Struthio camelus: one gene and its partner. The protein of the gene in region 1 interacts with the protein of each later gene in a biochemical or structural test. Links are inferred from orthologs where the notes say so. Each region holds a gene or a part of one and is shown on either strand. Other genes may lie near its edges. The genes, in order: EYA2 and SIX1.

Region 1 (3,902 bases):
AGCAAGGAAGTCCTAGAACCACCAAGCACTCTCTCCCGGTTTAACGTGAGAGCGGTGTAAATTCAGAACTGCAGATAATCCGCGGGGAAATCACAGGGTTAGTGCTGAGAACTGATGGGGAATAACAACTGAAAGAGCTTTGGTTTTCCTAGGCCGGCGGGAGGTAGCTCATGCTAGGAAGTTTGCCAGCTCTGGACTGATGCTAGGAGCTTTGTCTCCTTTGGACTGTAGGAACACACTTTGCAGTCAAACTGATCTGAGAGGTTTTGATAGTAAAAACAGCTGTCTAGTTGCAATGATGTTTTTGTTCCATTGTCAAAATTTTGAGTTAAATCCATGAGTGGGCTGCAGCTTGTTCAAGCCCTGAACTCAACACCCTTTCTGCTCCTTTGGCTTTTCCCTTCCCCTGCAATTCGTAGGGTATTGCTGTCCAGGAGAAAGGTGAGGTGAGGTATAATAAAACCCCCTGGGGTGCCGACGCACTGGTCTCCTCAGATGCTTCCCTGCTTTCGGGGAGACAAGCAGAGAAGCTGCAATTGGGCTCAAATTGGTGACAGACGGAAGTCCCACTCTGGGTGCCTGTACCAGAGGGGTCTCAGGTCTTGAGTGGACACGGGAGATGGAGCACCTCTGTGTCCCTGAGTCCTGGCGCCCTTGACGGTATTGCAGACCAAAGCAAGGTGGCACCAGGGGTTTTCTGGTCCGGAGACGTGTGAGCGTCCACACTTGTGAGTGTGGAGGGACGGCTCACGTGAGAACAGGGATTTCTGTGCGTTTGCAGGACCCAGCCTGAACGCACCCAGCAGCAACTCTGCGGTGCGGTGCGCGTCAAAGGAAACGGTCACAAAAAAGCATTCTTTGTTTAAACTAACATTTACAAATTGTCACTAGGTGGTCAAGAGACTATTAACGCAAAGACTGCGGAGTCTCTGCGGAAGCAGGATGCGTCCGCAGCGGAGCGGAGCCCGTGGCTGAGACGGTACGCGGATGCCAAGGCTGTAAGCCGCAAACAGCTTTTCAAAACAGCGTAGCGTGAGCGCTTCGGAAGGTAGCGCTGCGGCGGGGAGGACAAAAGCGCGCCCGGAGAGCGCCCGCTATCACGTGGAGGCGCGGGCCGGCCGCGGCTATAAGCGGCGGCGGAGCGGCCGCGGGTGCGCGGCGGCGGCTCCCGGCTCGCAGCGGGGCGCGCCTCCGGCCGCGGCTGCCGGCGCCGCGCCCGCGGAAGCCCCTCCTTCTCCTCCTCCTTCCCCCCCCCTCCGCGGCCGCGCAGTGCGGCGGGGCGGCACGGCGGCACCGCGCGAGCGGTAGGTGCGCGGCGGGGCGGGGGGCTGTGCTCGCTCCTGCGGAAGCAACAGGTCGCGTTACGCGGTTCCAAGCCGCCCGCGCGGGCCGGAGCGGCCCCTGCGCGCGCCGCGCTGCCCCGCGGAGAGGCGCGCTGCCGGCACGGCGCGGAGGGGGGAGGCCGGGCGAGCCCCCGGCGCAGCGCGGAGCCGCCGCCCCGCTCCGCTCCTTTCCGCGGGCATGCGCGCCTGCCTCGCACATGCTCACTGCGCCCGCAGCGGGCGCGCACACTCCGCAGCGCCGCGGCTCTGCGCTGCACCTCCGGTGAGTAGGGGCGCGGGGGCACGGCGCGGCTCGCCCTGCGCGGGGGCGCTGGCATACGCGGCTAATCCTCTCGACTGCTCTGTCCGCGCCCGCGGAGGGGGCCCGGCGGCTGCGGGCGAGCTGTGCAGCTGGGATCTGCTCGCCCGCGGTAGCGGAAAGTGCGAAACCGCCTCCCCGCGCGGAGCGGGGCGCTGGCCCCGGCGGAGGGCGGCGGGCGCGGGGCCGGCTGCGGCGCGGGGCTGCAGCCCTGGGTTCGCGGTGTGGTCTCGGGGCACGGCGTGGCGTTTAACTCGGCCCTCAAACTAGCCGCGTTGCGTTTAATAATTGTTCCGCTGACTTAAGCGCGCGTTTAAATAAAAGGAGTTAATGCGCTTTTTTGCATTTGCTCGTATGAGGGAAAACTTCTAGTGATTTATACGCTTTAAGTGAACTTATTGAGTGTTAAATTATGATTGAGCCCAGCGACTGGCCTCTGAAGGAAATTATTCGTGGTATACAGCTGCTGTTTTTAGATTTTTCAAATTATATGTTCTTTTGGATGAAATTTTAATCGTTAAAATATATACGGTTGACCAATAAACAGTTTATTGGTCTACATGAAACTTACTAACAGACATTTTATTCAGTGTAATATCAAATGCACCTATCCCTTAACGCTGCTAATGTCAATGGCAGGAATAGTTTACTGTTTAATCTTTCTCCTGGACTTTGTAACTTTGAGAATTTCCCGTCTCTGGAGCGCTCTCCATAGAGAGCTTTTCCCCCAATACTTTGGGAAACCGTGTCTAACTTCTGCCTGCTTACAGCTGCGTGTATTTGAGCTGTCTGGTCCCCCAAAGATAGCATATATTTAACATAGTTGTTCTGCGTTTAAATGAATGGTTCTTAACTCCTTTATATGTCTCTCATTGCGTTGTTGCTTGTCTATTAGAGGTTGTTGGATGCAGGATAAGCTTTCTTCTTTTCTTCTTTGGCTTATATCAACCTTTACTTTTTCTTAAAGCTGGTCTTTTTTTTATCTGCTCTGATATTGAAGGCATCATGTGGCCTTAAATGTTACATGTGCAGATAGGAAAGGGTACAAATACCCTGAAAATAATTAGAGCTTGCAGCTTTGGAAACATTCCAAAGTCTCTTTAAGCATGTTTTGAAAATTCATGTGAAATGACATTGCAGTTGATAACTTGATTTAATTATTTTCTCTTCAAAAAACAATTTCTTGCCGTTTGAGTCAAAATTAAATTGTAAAGTTAAGAGTCAAGTTGTCCATGCGATTCTCTTGCCTCTTCCTCTCAGAGCCCCCCCACCCCCCAAAAATTTCAGAGCAGTTTGCTAAATAGCAAGCTTTGTATTTGTTTGGTTTTAGGCTCACCGTTTTGTTTTGCTTTGTTTAGCCCACTCTCCACAGCGCTGCTTTTTTTTTTTTTTTAAGTGCTACATAGAGACTTGGTTCCCATGACTCGCAAATCGTATCACCAGTGTTTGGTTGAAATGTTTAAATGTTTGAAATGGGCTGTTGCTTCAAATCTTACGACTTTGGCAGTCTTAAATTTCATTAAAAGAGCTTCCTTAGGAAGAACAACATTGATAATTCCCCCTCCAACAGTAACATCCGTATTCAGCTACGTGATGCGTGTGGGTATACCTTGATTATATGAAGGAATTAAGCTCAGGTACTCATGTTAAGAACAAGATGTCAGAATATCACTTAAAGAATTCCCCTTGTGTTGCTGTTTTGTAGCTCTTAGGTGATTGAACAAGTTATATTTTTCTGAAAATTAAATAGTTTAACTATTAATTCTGCAAAAATTAAGTGGATATTTAACTTCAAGCTTGTAAGGAGTCCCCCTGAAGTCAGTGTGGCTGTATTTGTGTGATCAGTGTGCATATATGCATACTCTTGGCAAAAAACAATTAAATAAGTTAGTAGTCTTCTACTATCTTCCCAACTATTTATGACATGTAGTAGTACAACAGCTATTCTAAAATCAGTTATAATTATCTTCAGTAAGATTTGTTTCTTCTGTGCCAAGCTTTGTAGCGAGCAGATGGTTTTAAGGTGTCTTCAGCTGGAGAACAGGCAAGAACACTGCTGAAGACTAATTACTCTTTGCAGGAAATCTCTTCTGCGATAAGTTCACACGTCGTTAGACTTAATCTGTGGAAACGATTGCTAATATGACTTGTGCAGTAAAAAAATGCTTTTAAAATTTTGTCAAAGCTAGAAAAATCTTAGAATGACAAGAAAATATTTTTCAATTTGGCCTGGATGCTGTAACTTTTATTAGGGATAAACT
Region 2 (3,902 bases), on another chromosome or scaffold:
GCTGGTTTTTTTGTTGGTGGTGGTTTGGGGTTTTTTTTTCTTTTTTATTTTTTATTTTTGTAATTCCCGCTGGGACCAGCTCGTTTGAACTCGAAAGGAAGAGGGTTTCTGCCGCTCTCTGCGTTTGGCTACGTGGAAAAAAAATAATGGTGCTAGTGGGAGACGCTGGGGCGGGGACGGACTGGCCCAGGAGCCGATGTGGGGACGTATGAGAAGAGCCGGGAGTCCCGTCGAGAATCACCGGGTAAGCTGTAAAACCGTGTGCTGTCCGCTATGTACAACCGAGGGTCTCTATCCCCGAGGTAAGCCTCCTCTGCCATCGCTCCGGCCGCCGCGGCCCCTTTAGGAGCCCAGATCCACCAGGCTGGACGTGAGGGGTCCCAGCAGCGAGTCCTGGAGCTGGTGCCCTTGGAGGCTGTGCGCGGTCTGCGAGGCGGCGAGGCCGCCCAGGGCGTAGCCGGAGCTCCTGGCGTGGCCGAGGTTGCCCTGCAGCAGGAGGACCGAGTTCTGATCGGGGCTCTGCGGCGGCGAAAACTCTTCCTCCGAGCTGGACATGAGGGGTTTGCTCCCGTCCAAGGGCGACAGCTGGTTCGGCTTGTTGGTGGCCGCGTTGTTGTTTTCCGTGTTCTCCCTGCGGAAGGCAGAAATAAACAGCGGGGCCGTTACCGCGGGGCAGCGGCGGGAGGCGCCCGGGCCGCGGCCGCGCCAGCGGCGGGGGGGGGGGGGACGCGGCCGCCGCGGCGCTCAGGCCCCCGGCGGAGCCCGTGGGTTTGGTTTTACTGTGCTAGCAGAAGCCTCTCCCCAAGCAACATTAAAAAAAAAGCGTCTAATATTTTAATAACGGATCGTCCCCGCAGCTGCCGTTCTTGGCCCCCTATTTAGACAGCTGCGCCCCATCATGTAAACCGAAGTGCCTGTTAATTTAGGTGAGGGGGGAAGGTTGAGTGGTGAGGGGGGATTACAAATTTTTTCCCCCCTCTCCTTTTAATTAAATTACAACTTAAAGCATGGCTCCGAGGCCCAGAAACGCACTCAGCGCTTGGAGGGACTCGGAAAGGTTTTCTCCGAAAATGGGGGAGGTGGGAAGGCTCCTAGCGGGGACACAAAACCAGGGACGATGCGTGCTGGGGCCGAGGCCACCGCTCCGGCTGCCGGGCCCGGCCAGCGGCCTGGCTCCGGGGCAGAGGCGGCAGCGGGCTGAGCCGGGCCGCGGCCCCGAGGGGAGCCCGGCCAGCGGGTCCCAGCCCGGACTCCCGCCGCATCCTGCCCTCGCCCGCCCGTGGCGCCGCTCCCCCCGGCCTCGGGGCCGCCCCCGCGCCGTGCCCGGCCGAGGAGAGCCCCGGCTCCGGCTCCCTCGGGGCCGGGGCCGCCACCCGCGCTTCCCCCGCCGGCTGCGGCCGCGCCGCTGCCCGCCCGCCCGGGGCGGAAGGCACCAAACAAAAGGCGGGGGCGGCGGAGCGGCCTGGAGAGGCCGGTGAGGGGCTCGCTGCCCCCGGGCAGGTGGGGCCGGGGCCGCTCGCTCCCCCCGCCTCCTCCTGCCGCCAAGCGCGGAAAGCACCCCGGTGCCAGCGCCGCGGCTCCCCTCCGCGCAGCGCGTTTGCAGGGGGAAGCGACACGCAGTTATCCGCGGCAGAAAAAAATAAAATACATGTTTAAAAAAGCGATGCGGAGGCAGCGAGGTATTTACGCGGCTCGCTCCGCTGCCTCAGCCTGGCGCTGCCCGGCCGGCTGCAGCGCGGCGCGGAGCAGGAGCCGAGCAAGGGCCCGCCCGAGCTGCCCTGGGCCGGGCCGGCACCCCGCGGCGGCCGGGCAGCCGCGCTGCCTGCGCCGGGCTCGGGCTCGCCGCGCTGCCCCCCGCGCCCGACCTCCGCCTGCCACCCCGCCGCGGGGCCGGGAGAAGGAAGGGGTGCGGGGTCGGGGAGGGGGGGGGGCGGTTGCGACCTCCAGGCAAAAGTACCTTTCCTTCGCCTCCGCCGCTCGGTCCCGCTGCCTCCTGTTCTTGAACCAGTTGCTGACCTGGGTGGTGGTGAGGCCGGTGGCTTCCGCCAGCTCCCGCTTCTCGCGGGGCGACGGGTAGGGGTTGTGCGCGTACCACTCCCGCAGCACGCCCCGCGACTTCTCCTTGAAGCAGTAGCTGGTCTCCTCGCCGTCCCAGATGGTGCGCGGCAGCGGGAATTTTCGGCGCACGCGGTACTTGCCCACGGCGCCCAGGGGCCGTCCCCGCAGCTTCTCGGCTTCCACGTAGTGCGCCTTGAGCCAGAGCTGCTGCAGCTTGGGGTGGTTGTGGGGCGAGAACTGGTGGCTCTCCAGGATCTTGTAGAGCTCGCGGAAGTTGCCCCGGTGGAAAGCCACCACCGCCTTGGCCTTGAGGACGCTCTCGTTCTTGTGCAGGTGGTCGCAGGCCGGCAGCGACCAGAGGAACCGGCCGAGCCTCTCCAGGTTCCCCCCTTGCTGCAGCACTTCGCAGACGCAGGCGACCTGCTCCTGCGTGAAGCCAAAGGAAGGCAGCATCGACATGGCCAGGGCTCCGCGCCGGGCACGGCCGGCGGGGCGCGGGGAAGGCGGCGGCGGGCGAGGGGCACCGCGCGCGACGCGATGGCCGCTGCGCGGAGCGCGCAGGCAGCCGCCCGCCGGGCCCTTTCCCGTGCGCCGAGCGGGGAGGCGCGGAGCAGCCGGGGGCGGGCGGCGCAGCGGCCAGGCGAGCGGGGATGCTCGGCGCGGCGCCGGGGGGACTTTGTCCCCGCTCCGCCGCCGCCGCGCTTAAAGCGCCCGAGCCCCCGCGCCGCGCTGATTGGGCGCCCGCGGCTCGGCCCCCGCCGCGGCGGGCCCGGCCCGGCCCGGCCCAGCCCGGCCCAGCCCGGCCCGGCGGGCAGAGCCTCGGCACGGGCGGGCGGGGCCTGGCGGCGCGGTCCCGGCCCCGGCCCCGGCCGCCGCGGCTGCGCTTCCCGCCGCCGCCTCTGCGCGGGTGCGGGTGCGGCCGCGGGGGGAGCCCCGCTGACTGCTACGGGCGCATCTCTGGGAGGAAAAAAAAAAAAAAAAGAAAAACACACACACACACACACACACACGCTCCTGGCGGACTTCTTCTTTTCTTTCTTCCTTTCTGTTTTTCCTAATCCCCCACCCCCTACGCCCGCTCCCTGTCCTCCTCGGATCGGCTCGTTCCATGCGAGCCCATATTTAATTACCTTAATGTTGGGGATGAATAAATAATGGCTTGATGAATAGCGTATGCAGCACGCTGAGTAACAGCGCGGAGGCGCAGCCCGCTGCGGGAGCGCGGAGCGGGGCCGGTCGTCCTGCCCCCACCCCGGCCCCCTGCCCGGCCCCGGCTCTGCCCCGCGGAGCCAGGCGGGATCCCGGCGGGCCCCGGCGCCCCGGGCCCGGCAGCGCGGGCGCGGCAGGTCGGCGAGGAGCCTTTCGCCGGCTCGCCCCGAGGAAGCCGTGCGTGCGCCGGGTAGCAAAACCGCACCGACCGGCGGCGCTTTAATTACCCTAATCCTCATTTGCACACCTCGCTCGAAAGCCATTATTTAAAAAATTAGAAAACAATTAGCCTCCCTAAGCAAAGATAATCTATTGTCAGTAGCCAGGACGGGTTGAGAGATGAGGACAATGCGCTGAGATAAGGGCAAGGGAATGGTGGGAAGAGGGTGTCTTTATGACTGTATTTATCTTTGATTAGATAAGTAGCAACCAGTATTTTAAGCGCACTTCAGAACGCTTTTGATTAAAGAACGAGTTCACTTAGTGGGTGCTAATAACAATCGCAGGGCTCTTTAAAACCTGTTTGTCCTCACTAAATACGTTTTGATTTGTTTGACTTTAAATGCTTAAAGTGAAGAGCAGCCCATTTGTGGCCGAGGCGGAGAGCGGCTCCGAGCCGCTCGCGGTGCCCGACG

The links.
Region 2: the proteins of EYA2 (region 1) and SIX1 form a complex in vitro, tested with the Homo sapiens proteins (2 studies listed by IntAct, with this or other methods). The link is inferred for Struthio camelus from reciprocal best matches to the Homo sapiens genes EYA2 and SIX1.

What each region holds. Positions count from the first base shown.
Region 1 is NC_090959.1:8,470,679-8,474,580, forward strand, and holds the start of EYA2 (eyes absent homolog 2), read left to right. Parts: upstream 1-1,487; 5' UTR 1,488-1,540; coding exon 1,541-1,605; intron 1,606-3,902. UniProt on the Homo sapiens protein: Functions both as protein phosphatase and as transcriptional coactivator for SIX1, and probably also for SIX2, SIX4 and SIX5.
Region 2 is NC_090946.1:77,109,095-77,112,996, reverse strand, and holds the start of SIX1 (homeobox protein SIX1), read right to left. Parts: upstream 2,556-3,902; 5' UTR 2,518-2,555; coding exon 1,958-2,517; intron 632-1,957; coding exon 343-631; 3' UTR 1-342. UniProt on the Homo sapiens protein: Transcription factor that is involved in the regulation of cell proliferation, apoptosis and embryonic development. Plays an important role in the development of several organs, including kidney, muscle and inner ear.